2 linked regions of the Struthio camelus genome follow. The protein of the gene in region 1 binds, or shares a complex with, the protein of each later gene. Links are inferred from orthologs where the notes say so. Each region holds a gene or a part of one and is shown in the gene's direction. Other genes may lie near its edges.

Region 1 (7,442 bases):
GCGCTTCAGGCCGCCCTCCCGCCCCAGCCCGGGGCCGGGTGGGGGGGAAGGTGCTGCTTTCTCTCCCTCAACCGCTTCCTCCTCATTTCCTGTCCACCCAGCCCTGCCTCGCTTTTATAATTAAAGCCCCGGGTCGGTTCGCAGACGCGGGAAGTAGCGCTTCCCTCTTCTTCCCCCCCGCCACCCCGCGCCGTAGGCCGCCGATCCCCGGCCTCGCCTGGCGGCCGCCGCGGGCGCCAGCGCCGCCTCGCCCGGCCGCGGCCGAGAGGGGCCGGCGGCGCCCCCGGGGCCTGCTGCGGGGCAGGAGCAGCGCGGGGGGCTCTCCGGCGGCAAGACACAGCCAGGCTTTCCCCGGAAAAAAAAAAAAAAAAGCAAAATAACCCCCAAAACACTCTCCCTTCTCCTTCCCCCACCACCCCCCACCCCCAGCCGCCGCCAACCTATTTAAATAAAACCCACATATTTCCGGGAGCCTGGGAGGCTACTTTAAGAAAAAAAAGAAAAAACATATATAATATACATATATATATATTAAAAACCTCCCCTTCTACCCGGAAACGGTATAAAAGCATCAAAGAATTAAAAAAAAAACCAGCAACAACAACAACTTATTTGATAAACTTTACAAGCCCCCGAGGAAGATGCATCTGGGAAGCTATGGCACAAGGGCTGCTTCATGGGGTTTATAGCAAATAAGAGGGGGGACACGGCAGGCTAAACGCAGATCGTGAACAGAGCTTTGAAATCTTACAACCAGCAGCCGGCACAAACACCATTAATACTAAGTTTTTAATGCAAACCCAAGGGCTTTTTAGCAAGCTGTTCACTTTTAGACTACTACCACATTTTTCTCCGGGGGGTGGGATTAGGATCTCTGACAATTATTTTTTTGCAAACCCCACAATTTTGGCGGAAGAGTGGGGGCAGCTTCAAAATCCCGTCAATTTTTTTTTCTCCACTTTTTTTTTTTTTTTACATTTGGAATTACAAAACGTTTCCTCTATGTAGTTGCTATTTGAAATGTTTACTTTTAAATGAAGCAACATCAAGATGTTCTTGTTTTTTCAAAGCCCACCCTTTATACATACATAAATACGTTTATATTTTATAGACATATTTATATATATATATATATATATATATTTATATATGGTTTAAGAAAAAATAACCCCCCAAAACAATAATAAGACTTACCTCTCCTTGGGTTTTCCCCCTCACACTATGTATAACTTTTCTTGATAAATGGTATTATATTACTAGAAATATTATTAAAGTATTATTACTATAAGTAATAATAATAGTAAGTGTTATTTAATTATAGAAGGAAGCATTCTGCTTCTGGATCGGCTGCCCCTGCAGCTCCCTCCATGTGCCTCCTGATCTCTTTACTTTCATTTCCAGGTCTCCCTCCCTCCCTCCCTCCCTCCCTCCCTCTCTCTCTCTCAGCTGCACCAGCAAGAGAAAATGCCTCCCTGCATATCCTCTGGGCCCTAGAGGCTACCGGTTTCCATTACAAAAATTCATACAATCTTTCCCTTGTGGTTGTTTTTGAAATTCTTTTTACGTGAATTAGCTTTAACAAAAAAAAAAAAATTAACACGCTTAACTGTTTGAAGCTCATTCTTATTTTAATAAGGCAATTTCCTCGTTGCCGGATGTCTGGCTTTGTGGATATAAAACACACCCCAAAAGAAAGCAAAAGATCCCAAGCTGCCTTTGCACAGTAATTTATGCATGTGAGGAGCAGCAATGAACTGAATGGAATGATGCGACCCTCATGGGATTATCCCATGCATGAAGTGGCCCTTCTGCCCATACATATATGTTTGCTGGCGGGGGGGCAGAGCAATTGCAAACAGAGCTTATTTAATCCACCCCACACTGCTGAGGGGTTTTCCTGGACACAATATATTCTAAAAACGTAAACTTTTTTGTGGAAGACGTACACAGTGTATAGATCTATTACATATTATTATATTATGTAATTATGTATATTGTATGTAATATCATCACATATGTTATATACATATACAATGCATATATTTATAGACTTACAACAGTTTTTAATACACATATGTATTTAGGTGCTTTTTTGAAATCTGATTTTTGGTTTCTCATCCCAAATCCTTCAACAGTCTCAGGAAATGGCCTGATTCTCCACAACGCTCCATGCAGGCAGAACCCCAGGAACGGCTTTATCATCATTTGTTCTTGGGTCATGGCAGATGATTGCGAACACAGAGATACACAAACCCCCTTAGACAGGGGTTTCATCCATCCCTGTCCAGCTGCAACATCATTAACTTCAAATAAGCCTCTGGAATGAGTTTCATGCTCAGCTCCTCATCCACCCTCCCCGGTAGGCTAGGTTTTCCTCTCCCTAAGGATTTTGTCTACTGTCAGATTGTAATTTCCAGACTGATGCTGGTTTAAATTATCACCTCTTTACAAATGTAATCAGTGACATGTTTACCTCTCAGTGTCTCACTTGGCCATTTACAGTGACCCAAAACAGCATCACTTTGTGCTTTGCAGATAAGTAACTCAGCCAATGTTCGAACGCAGGTAGAAAGTATCGTCTGAAATGTATTAAACCTGCTTAATGTTTAAAGCATTCCGGTCAGAACAGGATAGACTTTGTTATACTGAGTAGGTTTGGCTTCTGGCAGCTCTTTTGACACAATAAACCGAAAATTTATGATATATAGGCTGTAAATTATATAATGTACCATATGACATTGGAGAACACTTTCTTACACTGTTCACAGTATTTAATCACAATGTACTTTTTTTTAGATATTCATTATGTTCTCTGATACGATCCAAAGATGACTGTTATTTTTAGATAGGACAATATTTATTTTTTGTTAACTATTCAGCAATTTGTTACCTTGGATTCTTAGGCAATGACAAGTCCAGCCAAGTTGGGCCTCCACTGCAGAAGGTGCTGTGCAAAATGTACATTAAATGACAATTCCTGTTGAGGGGAGGCTTTAGGCAGAAGGAAGGTTGAGCAGGCCTGGTGGAAACAGATAAACATGGGGAGATCTGACATGTCAGATCACATAGGAAGGGGAGCGTCATGGAGCCAATAAGCTTCAGATGAGTCACGGCGCCTAAGATGCCTCCAACCCTGCTGTGAGAGTTGAACGTCTGAAAGGCAAGACGTAGCAGTTGCATGAGAAGAACAAGAGGGCTTAGGACGAACTGAGGAAAAAGAGGAACGAAAACAAAATCTATACATAATAAGGAATTCCGCTGGAATTAGTACGGTTCTTTTATTCAAGAACATTCATTTTTTAAGATTGAATTTCCTCACTGAGCATCGCATTACAGCCTCTTCCACCCCACTTTTTCCTCGCTTATAATACCGAGGGCTGTCTCATAAAGTCATGATCCAGTATGTATTGCCCCACTCATGAATAACATCTTTCCTTACTGGTTAATGTCCAAATTCTCATAACTGGCAAATGAGGTTATCTACGTCTAGTATGCACATAGTCAGCAGAGTCAAAAGGTGGCAAATTCCTACTCTGAACTGAGTTACAGTTGCATAAAAGTGAGTTTGATTTGTGAAGCTATTCCTTTGAGGAGAAGGAATCTGCTACAATGGCATAATATACCTTTAGTCCAGTATAGCTGCATCCACAGTTGAAGTCTTTGCTCTTGCCCCTTTGGCCCCATGTAGCTAGACAATATTTGGGAGAAAAATAGAGAATGGAATGAGATAGATTTGATATGATCCTGTTTATTGCTAAAGATCAGGAGGAATAATAGGAGCAATTTCCTCGCTCATAGTTTCTGAGTTCAGGCTCCCTCTCAAGATCACGCTAATTTATCTCCTCATCTGCTCTACGTTTTCTGATAGCTTTATGCTCCTTACGCACAAGCAGAATCTAGTCAGTGCCTCAGCTTCTTCATTTTCTTCAGTTGCAAGAGAAATTCCTCTTACTACTTATGAGTTAGCTTTAGCTCAAGCTTTCTATCTAGCTGCTGTACCAGTTGGTGGCTTTTATATTTTCGGCTGTCATGCTCCATAAAGAAACTTATTTATCCTTTTCTCCTAGAATGAAGAAGGACTAGCGTGTCTTCAGCCTCAGCGTGGCCTCCCGTGTCAGTCAGCATTGCCAATTAGTTCAAGTTTTGTCTTGGGTCTGGATAAACAGCATTTGATATTGTTTCTTAAAACCTCAGTCACAGAATAATGAAGGAACAAAAAAAAAAAAGACTGTCATGTTTTGGGACCAAATGGCTGAATATATCCAGCCCACTGGAGATATTATATCTATATATATAGATATATCTATAGCTATATATCTATCTATCTATATCTCCAGCACCCCGGCCCCGGGCCTAGGCCGCCACCCAGGGCGGCGCTGCGCGCTAGGCATGCCGGGAACTACCGCCCCGCTCCGCAGAACTACATCGCCCGGCGTGCCCCGCGCCTGGCCGGACAGTGTGGCACCCGTAGCTCCGCCGCGCACGGCGCGGCCGGCCGGCGGCTTGCGGCACGCTGACGCTCACCGCCTCGCGCGGGGCGGCGAGGGACGGGGGTTTGTGACGTCACGCCGGGCAGCCAATCCGAGAGGGGAGAACAAAACTGCCGGCTTTCAAATCCTCCGCCTCCTCCCTCCCTTCCCCCCCCCCACCCCCGGTCTGTCGGCAGCGGCGGCGGCGGGAGAGCTGGGGTGACGCCACTCGGTCGCCTCCACCGGCAGCGAGCGGCGGCGGCGGCCGCGGCGACGCCAGCCCCCCTCGCGGCGCGGAGGTGAGGCGGGGCGGCGGCGGCGGTTGGCGCCCGTTGGGAGCGGCGGGCGGGAGCGGGGGCGCGCGAGGCTCTGCTCGCGCCGGCCGCTTCCCCCCGCCACCGCCCCCGGCTCCTCGCGGCGGGGGGAGGGGCGGCCTCGCGACGCTCCCACGTGCCCTTCTTCTTCCTTCCCCCTCCCCCCCCCCCCGCTGCCACCGCCGCCCCGGTGACGCCGCTGTGCGTGGCCTGCGGGTGCGGGTCACGCGTGCCCGGCCCCAGCCCTCGCGGCGTCGCGAGGCGGCCGGGTCGGCTCTGTGAAGCCGGGGGAGTCTCGGGGAGCAGGTGGGAGGCGTGGCGGCGGCGCGGCCGGTGCGCCGCACCTTCCTGAGGGGTACAGAGGAGCCATTAGCCGTCATTAAGGGAAAGGCGCACTGGGAGCCTGTCGGGGACTTGCCGGAGGGGAGCCTTGGGCTGTCACCGAGCTCCCCGGGGAGCGGGGTGTGGGGCTCTGGATTGCCCGGGGTGCACAGCAGGGCTCCCCCTTGGGTAGTGCGCTTGATAGTCGGTGTCTTGTCCATTAGCGTGGATAAACCATTATAAATAAAGTATTGAGCTAAAGTAACTTTTTTTTGACCATCAGGAAGTGTACAGCATTATGCAGTGGTTAAGTAATAAGGAAACGTCTCTTCAGGCATTTCTAGACCTTGTTTTTGTTTGCCAAGAATACTTCTACTAACTTTTCTGTTGATTTTATTTATTTATTTATTTTTTTAAAGCTTTCCTTGCAGAAGACCTGGCAGTGAAGAGACCTCTGGTAGGTTAACAGTTGGGTGTGGCTGATGTGTTTGCAGTAAAACATGCTTCAGGATGTGATGGAGAAATGGGATGTTGAAATCAGGAAGTAGTCCATGTATAAGATGAAGAAAGAAAAAAGGGATTTAGGGAGAAGAGAAGCAGAGGGAGGGAGGGAGTATGCTTGTAGATTATAAAAGAACATTACAGCAGAACACAGAACTCATTTTTAAACAGCTGGGTGATGAGATACTCGAAAGTAAAGTTGAGAATCCACTTAGGTGAGCGAACTGACCTCTCTGGATCCTATTTAACTTTTGTTCCTGTGTGGTAGAGCCTTTGTGAGTTGGAGAACACCCTCTCTGTTTGTTTCTTCTCTTTGCTATTGGATTGGAAGAAGTTTAGGCATGTTTATCAGCATGGTGCCTGAGTGACTTGATAGATGTTGCCAGCAGAAAGATGCTCAAATAATTACTCCTCTCCTATCTGAGAGGTCAGTCATCCTGAAATGGTAATGTTGATGAACCTTGAAACCCCCTCCCCCTGCAAGTCCAAAAGCAGCAGTACTAAAGTTCATAAACCTTAAGAGAAAGGCACTACCTGAGCAGAGCTGGAGGCAGGTCCTTTTACAGCCAGGTAGCAGGAGGAAAGGATGTATGTACAACTTTCATTTAGGGGGTGTCTAAAATCCTCCCCATTGGAGGGGCTTAAAGAGCAGCAAGCTTTTGTGCTCACCTTGAAGTTAGACAAGAGTGGAAGGGGTCCGGTTTTGTGCAGTTGTAGGGATTAACTTGCATCCTCGTTAACACCTGAAATCTCTTTTAAAGGTCTTTTTCTTCTAAGCACTAGCTGCTTGCAGCCCCTTATTTCAGCAGAGGTGGAAAGAAACCATGAAACCACCAAAGAAAAATGCTCTGTTTATCCTGCTGAATGAACAGGGATCATTCACTTCAGAGTGATGATAGTCATCAGATAATGATTTACAGATGCTACTAGCCATGGCTAGCACCAATTTGTGCATAGAAGTGAAGTGTTCCCTGATCCATCATCAGGGTTATATCAGGGTCATATATATATATCTGTTTAATGTGTTTGAGTACGACTCTGTGGGGCAGCCAAAAAGAAAGCAAGCCCACAAATCTAAGCGAGACTTTTGTAGCTAATACACATGATGTTTTTCAGCAGCTCAGCGATTCTAGAACTGTGCTGACATGAGCACTACTAGGGATATAAATGAAAGGGGAAAACAGTTGTGTTCGTTCTAGTTTGGCGTGGAGAAGAGGGGAAATGTGCAGGGTGCGTGTAATTAAAGGATTAGATTTGGGTAGAAAAGAATGTCACATCTTAACTGTGAAAGTGTTGTATGCAAAACAGTGTCTTAACGTGGTCTCGTTATACTTCATAAGCAACCAATAGCTAAAACCACTTACCAACTTCATCAGAACAAAACATGAGCCTCTTCAGGACTGGAAAAATCAACCAAATCCAACTTTGAAATGTTAATCTGGCCAAGCTGTCATGAGTGAGCTATGAGGGAAAACACTAATGACAGTGAAAACTCGATTAGATATCTCAGGAACAAAAAACCACTAGTGTTTAAATATAAGACAGTTATTAATATAGATTATGTATCATCGTTTGCTTTTCTAATGTTGACAGTTTCTTTTTAATTAACAGCTTGTAAAGTTTGGGAAAGCGGAAAAGATGGCATCAGAAGACATCACTAAGCTTGCGGAGTCACTTGCCAAAACCAAAGTGGGTGGAGCACAGTTGAGCTTTAAAGGCCAGAGCCTTAAACTCAATACAGCAGAAGATGGTAAGAGAAAATATCCTTGTGTTGGGGAAGTGTCTCCCTGTAATTCTAATGTCTTGCAGTAAACCTCCATCCCATCTTGCATGGCCA
Region 2 (7,693 bases), on another chromosome or scaffold:
TCTCCCAACATGAGGCTCTAGGAGAAATGAGCTGCGTCACCCTTGGGAGGTGGATGGTAGAGAGCCAAGATCAGACTTATACCGGACATCGTGCGTCGACACAGCTGCAGTTAGGTGAGACGATGTGTCACTTCCCCACCAGCTCCTTGCTATGGCGAGCACCAAGGAAGTGTGTTGTTAGCCAGCTGAGGGACCTCCCTGCCCTGCTTCCAGAGTCCTCCTCAGTCCACACAGGGGTGGAGAACGCTGTGGTGGACCTTCTCAGCTGATCGAAAAGTGACATGATGACAGCCCGTGGGCAAGGAAGAATGTCTTGGAGATGTTAGTGGGCAGATGAGAAGACAGGCATGAATGCAAATTTGCCCTTCTTAGCTGAGGTAGGAGGTCAGTCAATGCCCTACAATTTTAGAGCTTGAGAAACAGAATGTGGTGCTTTAAAAATAGGTTTTTTATTCAGTAATGGGTTCTCTGTACTCTGCCCAGAATGACACGCGAGTGTAAAATGGAGTCTGCCTTCTGGACTGCTTATCGAGGGGACAGCAGCCATTTTACGGGGAAGGCACAGACAAGCTGAGAGGTCCTCAAAGAAAGGTCATCTCTACTCCCACAATGTGCTGTCACGTTTCATGTTCACATGCACGTAAGATTACCCAGCCAGACACACTGAAGACACGGGCACTTGAATGAAGTATGTCCCACTGGCTACAGCAAAATGTAAACACGTGCTCAAATGGGTTGCTGAACAGAGATGTGCTTACATTTATGTACATACGGACCAAGAAACCAAAAGGGATAATAAAGAATTAAGCTGTGAACTTAACCTTCAGCTATGTAAATTACAGGGAACAAAAAATATAACCAATGTGAAACAGTATTATAAATGCACTTTAACTACAGGCACTGTGTTATAAAGTGTAATCTTGCTGAATTGGGACAGTGGAAAACAGCAGGCAAGTTTCAGCCTCAGAGTTATCTAGGATGAAAAATATTTTTTCCAACCACTTCTGCTGTCACACGATATCCCACTTGATAGAGTGTGATTGTATAAAATGGGCTGACCAGCCAAACACATACTAGTCATAAGGTAGCTATGTTGACAAATTGAATCATATTTAGTGGGATTATACCCAAGGCAAAGAATTCTGAAGATTAGTAACTGAATGTGAAAGCATCAGCAAATGTATGCTGCTGAGACTCGTACTGCTGGTTTGGGAGCGCTGTGCTCCAAACCCACAATTTAAACTCCTCCTCTTTGCAACTGGGAACCAATATTTGTATGAAGTAACTGAAAGCATGAGCACTGACAGCTAGATTGACGAGATGACCAGCGCTGTACTAGGCTAGCGCAGCACACATTGGTTGCTTTGTAGGGCACAATGCCTAGGGCTATCTATCTATCTAGGTACTATGCCACCTTGACATCATCTTAAACTCATGTACAATAAAGAGATTTTAATGATAAGTATATTATAGCTATGCTTTCAGATACCTAAAATTACCATTCATCTATTTCCAAAATTAATTATTCAAGTGGCATCACTTTATCATGATCATGTAACTCCATGTTAACTCTCCTCATGTGTCTAGGACAAATCCTTTGGGTTGTACAGGCTTATATGGATTTCAAAATGGAGCCTTGCAGTTGCATTAACCCTGTTTTTACTGACAGTTACTTTTCAAGCACGCTCACAGACATAAATACGGACCTTTTGTGAAGCATTAAAATAATTATCCTCGCACTATTCTTGTGAGGATAAGGAAGTGGTGTTATCAGAAGTTTGTTTAAAATAAGGGAAGCTTGTTTAAAATAGCAAACAGATTTCCTGACGAGAGTTCTCTTTTTTTTTTTTTTTTTCTGAACCTTAAGACTTCTCCTGCAATGGGTTAGACCACATGATGGGGGAGACTGCAGCTGGGGTGACCACGCCTGCCAGAGCAACTCCTGCACGCATGAACCCTGCTCCAATGCATGTGCTCCCCAGCTGCTCTGCTGCCATTTCCCTGTGCCAGGACTGCACATCAGCCAGCTGGACGCCTGCGCTTGGCATCGGGCAGAGCCGGAGAGAAGCCACTGCGCTGTCTGTGCTGCCAGCGCATCACCTGCAGACAGGGAAGCAAGAAGTGCAGGACAACTGAGTGAGCCTTATGTATGACAAGCCTGCCTTGGGTTCAGGGAAGACCCCTTTCCCAAGAGTCCAGCCTTCCTCTTTTCCATGATTACTGGATTGCATTATGTTGTCTAGTGAGTTCAGTGCTCTTGCTTTCTATCTGCACACTTCACTGTGCACTGAAACAGCAGTGTCGCAGGTAAGTCTTGACTTTGCAGAGCTAAACCTCATGCCTTTCCTTAGGCAGGGATTTAAATAAATTTCCCTGCACCCACTCCATCTCTCTGCTGCAGGATTCACCTAAAACATACAGGCCGGGCAGAAATGAAAGATGGAATAACTGACTGGAAGAAGTATTTCCAAGCCACAGGCTCACTGCAGGCCCTGCATGGTGCTGCTGTGCCCTCTGCTGGACTGCTTCTCCAGACCTTTGCAGGCCTTGCTGCACCTCATTTAAAGCCTTCCCACATGCTGCCTTAGTCCCTGCGCCACTGGGTGCTGACCCATCTCTCAAATTGAAGCTTTGTGTCCAAGTCTCAGTCATTCCCTTCCTTGGCCAGTGCCCTAAACCGTAAATGGAGCGGTAATTAAGTTCCTAGTATAATGAGCAAGGTCATTTTAATATAACAAGGCTCTTTGTACCACCGTCATTTATACTCCCTGTAGGCATGAACAGCTAGCGGGTCCTCTTGCAACAAGTGCATCCTGTGAAAGCGCCTTCCCTGTTCCAAGCACATTAGTCCTCCCAGCTCACTAAGGCTTTATTCTGCAGCTTCCTTAAGGCAGTTTAGTTTTCTTACACTTTATTGTTTTCAGTTCTGATGTGGAAAGTCTCTCCAGGAGGTGGCTACAGCAATGCCTGCAGCATCCCCTGCTGCCAGCACAGTGGATCGTCTCAGTCTCCAGTGTAGCCATCAGTGCACCTTTGAGTTCCTGCAGTCATCTGACCTCTGAACAATGAGTGGCCATTTTGGAAAAGATGTAATTGATAAAGTTACACAGGCAGCACACCCCCACCCCCACCCATGCTTTGGGTTAAAAAAAAAATAGAAAGAAAGAAAAAGCCAAAAGGCCCAACTAAAAATGAGATCTCTTCATTCTCAGCTGATTTTTGAAGCCATGAAAATATTCACTTTTAAGGTGCCTTTTTTCCCCCCAGAGGAACCCATAAAGTAGACATTGGCATCTCCGCAATAGCAGAGCATGCGAGCACACCAAGTAGCTGACCACTCTAAAGGTCAAGCAACAGCACCTCAACTTTCCTTAACGATGGATGGGCATGACCCCTGTTTTTGAACAGTCGGTCTCTTTGATGAAACTGTGGAGAAACTGAATAATCCAAGGAGCGGGCAGTCATATTAGGTAAGTCATGTATTAACCTGAAACTAAACTGCTGTGAGATTTTGAGTAATCGTCCAGGCAAGAAGTCTTCCCAGCCCTCCCCACCTCTCATGCAACCATGTCAAGAGGGTCAATGAACCCCCTTTGTACTATCCAAATAATTGGTCCAAAACCAGTGATTTCTACCACAAAGATAATAGACAATATTTGTCAAGCCTCCTCTCTTGTGACTGTCTGCTAGACCAAGTGATCAGCAAGTACCAAGAACTCTGTTAACAGCAATGCAGAACAAGGTATTGCTCTAACAGCAAGCCAAACCTATCAAGAGAGTAATCTACCAGAGAAACTTCAGTGTGCCCACTCCAGAAATCTTAGACGCCGAGCAAATCACACGGCAAGGCAAAAGCAAAGGGAGCAGCAGAGAGAATGGGCTCAAGAGCTCTGTTGCTGAAGCAGGGCAGGACTTTGCAAGGCCAGGATCTGGATCTCCAAAACACCTGCTTGGAGACTGCCAGGGAAAAGGGCAGATACTGGCTCCAACGTGCTCTTCGAGTTGCTTGATCTCCCTCACCATTGTCCTTCTAGTGATAACGCCGCAGTGTTACTCAGGCCAAAGACCTCTTCCAGTCTTTTGGGATGGCGCACGCTTCTCCCACACAGCAGGAGCAGCCTCTCTTCCCCTTCCACGTGGGACAAGGGACACCAAGGACCAGGAAGGGCCCAGCAGCTCCAGGCTGCTGCCTCCCTTCTCCGGGCACCGGGGGCTGTAAAACCCCTGGAGCCCAGCAGGCCTCGGCACGCAGCTCTGCCCTCTGCTCCACGCAGAGGCCTGTGCACCAGGCCCAGGAGCACCCCAGCGCCTGCCCGGGCTGCACCGAAAGACAGGAAAGCTCTGAAGGCGTCGAATAAAGCTTCTGCCAGCGGATCAGCTGCTGCTGCTCCTTCTTCATTCCTCCTCTTCCTCCCCCCCCTCCCCTCCCCTCCCCGCCCTAGGCGGAGGGGCCAGGCCACGGGACGGCAGACCGCCCCCCACCCCCCCCCGCCTCCACGAGGCGCCTCACGCCGCCGGCCGCCGAGCGGCGCGCATGCGCTGTGCGCCCCGCCCCCGCCCGGCGCGCAGGCGCCCCGCTTCCGCCTCTGCTTCCCGCGGGGGCGGGAGGCCGCGCGCCGCCACAGCCAATGAGGGGGGGAGGGGGGGAGCGGCGGGCCGGTCGCGCGGGATGCGCGCACTTCCGCCGCGGCGGCCGGGCCTATGTACCAATGGCTGCTGGGGGCCCTGGGCGCCCTCCTCGCCGCCGCCCGCCGTGCCGCGCCGCCCCCGGCCCCGCCGCCGCCGCCGCGCAAGAGGCCGCCCCGCAGGTCAGCGAGCCGCCCCGCCGCGCCCCCTTAGCCGTGGGGCCGCCCCGCCGCTCCGGCTCCCTCGCGCAGGCTCGGCCGCAGCCGCCTTGGCCTCCGCCACGGTGCCCGCCGGCGGCGGGGCCTGGCCGCCGGGGAGCGGCCGCCCGGCGGGCCTCGGTCGCCTCCGCTCTGGGAGGCGGAAGCTGAGGTGGTTGCTGTGTTGCATCGTAAGCTTAGGCCCGGTTTTGTCTCGTTCCCTGGGGTTTCTCTCATTCCTGCTGCTGTCTCTCTGGGTCTGCCCTGGCCCTTGGCCCGCTCAGAAGCCCTGTTCCCGGGCGGCAGGGCTGGCGCCGGGCCTTTTTAAGGCGTCTGCATCATCCAGCATCCTTTTCCGCCCTGGCCCTGGAGCCGGTGAAGCAGGCTGGGCTGCAGTGCTCGTTCTTGCCCCAGGCTGTTGGCCTTTTTGCCCCTCCGTGGCGCTCTGTGCTTACGGTCACGGTTACTTTGCGTGTCCTGCGCAGATCAGTTTGACTGCTGGATGTGCCTACTGAGTCCATTAGCAAACTCCTCCCCTTGCTCACTTTCTGTCGTAGTGGGGGTATGAAGGCAAGAGATTTGGAGCACGTGTGTTTTCTTGGAGCAGGAGGGACAATGTATGTGTATATAGGGTTTTATTGGATGAGGGAAAGTCATGACGGGGGATAGAAACGTGAGGATCATAATATGGTTCGCATATGTATACAGAGCGGAAGAAAGGGGGATGCTGTCACAGATGTTCACTGTTGGTGTTTCTAAGTGACCTGGAGCCCTGGCTGATGGCTGAACCATCTCTGTGCCTGTCTGAAGGGAGCGAGCGTACTGCTTGCGTGCTATGGTTTGCCAAGCATAGTCACTTCCTCTGTGAGGAGCTGTTGCTCCAAGAGGTTCTTGAGGCTGTGCTTAGTATCGGGCGTTTCAGAGTGAACGTGAGAAGTGAAGGTGTTCTGAGCTTGAAAGAACCAGTTGCTGCATAAGTAGTTTTTCACAGCTGCTGTGCAGTAAACAAAGAGCAAAATCCCAAACTGAAGAATTCACCTTTGTAGACACCACAGACTTTTATTTCATAGTTTGGCCAGGAAGGCTCTGTTGGCTAGCTGCTCACTGGAAATAACAGTGCTAAGCAAGTGGGATGAAAGGCAAATGAAACTGCATTAGGTGGCTTCAGAAGCTGTCCTGCTGCTGAATATAAGTTTTCAAACATTGTTAACTGAAACGTGCTGTAAAATGGCAAAGATATTGTCAGGTCACCTTTGTGAGTTTGTTCAGGGAAATGTAAAGCACAAAACTCAGCTGTGGATGGGGCAAGTGCTTATTAAAATTCAAGTGGAGCAGAAGAGTGTTTTCAGCTAGCGTTGTAGCACGATAGGTGCAGGAAAGTTTTGAGCTAGGAAAACTCCCATTCACTGTTCAAAACTAAAGCAACAGGTGAACAGCGAAAGTAACAAAACAGTGAAAGTCCCCCAAAAGTTGCTTGCTTTGCTACTTATAGCCCCTTGCTGTTTTCCCATAGTAGAAAGAGGAAAAGCTGGGGCTGGTGAAACCGGTGGGGAAAGCAGATACACATAGCTACTACTGTAGAGCACTGCTGAAGTGCAGTACTCAATTTTCTTTGATTAACCTGTGAAAATTTGAATTTATCTGCAGCTTTATATTATAAACCTTAATGAACTGTTCTCTGTGCTCTTGCAGGGCAGGGAGGGGGGTTTGAAAAGAACAGAGCCTGAGCTTACGCACATACATACATACATATATATATATATATATATATATATATAGCATTATTGCACTTTTCTAATACCTTATTTTTTTTTCCTGTGGCTGCTGAAGAGGAAAGTAAAATGATGGCCACAAATGGGTGCCGTCTCCCCTAGAACAAGGGGAAGGATGCGAGCGTATCCTTGCATGTACAGCAGTCTCAAATGGCTCATGTTTTCTGGCCTGTTTTTTCAGCTTGTTTCAAATATTGTTTGACATCAGTGTCCTTATTCCTGTCACCCAGACCCTTGGTAAAACCTAGATTGTAATGACAGAGCGTAACCTCCTCAGAGGAGGTGTTTGCATTCATGTTGGAGACAAAGGTAGCTAAGCATAGATTCATTTCTTTCCTAGCTGCCGTCTTTTACCTGTCTGCGTTCCCTGGCCATGCCTACTTTAGACAATCAAGGAGTTCCGAATTTACATCTGAATTACCAAGAGATAATTCATCTTTCCCAGTGATCAGACTAATTCTAAACACCCAAGTATTTGATAAATTAAAAAAGGACAAAATAACGCTCTCACAGATGTTTAGTGCTCTGCTAAAACTGGAGGATGATGCATTTCTGTTCAAGAGCAGTTACTGTTACCACAGGCACGTATTTAAACTATGCTTACCTCAAAATGTAGCATTGAGAAGGGTGAACTGTACTTTGGCTCTGCTAAGACTAATGCTGGAAAATTTTCACTGAAGACCAGCTCAGAATGAAACTTAGCTCTTGCTTTACAAAAAAAAAAAAAAAAGATCAGGAGGACACAGACATATTTTTATCCTCTTCAGTTTTACCTTCTGAAATATCAAACTTGCACTTAACACCTGCCCCCCCATATTTTCTTCCTGCCTTTATTAGCATATCAATAGCTCTATATGAAAGGTGCAGTTAAGGATATCAGTTATGTTTGAAGAGCTTTTCGTGCACCCGATAGAAAAGGAAGATAGTCCACTAGTGATGGTACCAGCTTTGTTTGGGAGCGTAACAGTTTTAAAGGAATTATTTTGTTGAAGAAAGACCAAAGAATCCTTACAGTGCATCACAGCCTTTTTGGAAGCAAAGGGAAAAGCCATTAGAAAACACTGTCTGTTCCCAAAGTGAAACCTTTTGCAATGCTTC

Evidence for each region. Proteins that work in one complex are often made in the same cells at the same time.
Region 2: the proteins of RANGAP1 (region 1) and SENP2 are in contact, whole or in part, in a crystal structure (PDB 2IO3), measured with the Homo sapiens proteins. The link is inferred for Struthio camelus from reciprocal best matches to the Homo sapiens genes RANGAP1 and SENP2. Residues at the interface, in NP_001265580.1 of Homo sapiens: Glu467, Asn508, Thr511, Thr514, Arg515, Val518, His519, Leu523, Lys524, Ser525, Glu526, Asp527, Val529; in NP_067640.2 of Homo sapiens: Tyr408, His409, Trp410, Val477, His478, Asp495, Met497, Gly498, Gln499, Lys500, Pro536, His537, Gln541, Gln542, Asn544, Gly545.

What each region holds. Positions count from the first base shown.
Region 1 is NC_090942.1:56,877,858-56,885,299, forward strand, and holds the start of RANGAP1 (ran GTPase-activating protein 1), read left to right. Parts: upstream 1-4,441; 5' UTR 4,442-4,768; intron 4,769-4,812; exon of another isoform or gene 4,813-5,089; intron 5,090-5,523; 5' UTR 5,524-5,561; intron 5,562-7,216; 5' UTR 7,217-7,243; coding exon 7,244-7,355; intron 7,356-7,442. UniProt on the Homo sapiens protein: GTPase activator for RAN. Converts cytoplasmic GTP-bound RAN to GDP-bound RAN, which is essential for RAN-mediated nuclear import and export. Mediates dissociation of cargo from nuclear export complexes containing XPO1, RAN and RANBP2 after nuclear export.
Region 2 is NC_090950.1:3,002,007-3,009,699, forward strand, and holds the start of SENP2 (sentrin-specific protease 2), read left to right. Parts: upstream 1-4,683; 5' UTR 4,684-4,701; coding exon 4,702-4,808; intron 4,809-7,693. UniProt on the Homo sapiens protein: Protease that catalyzes two essential functions in the SUMO pathway.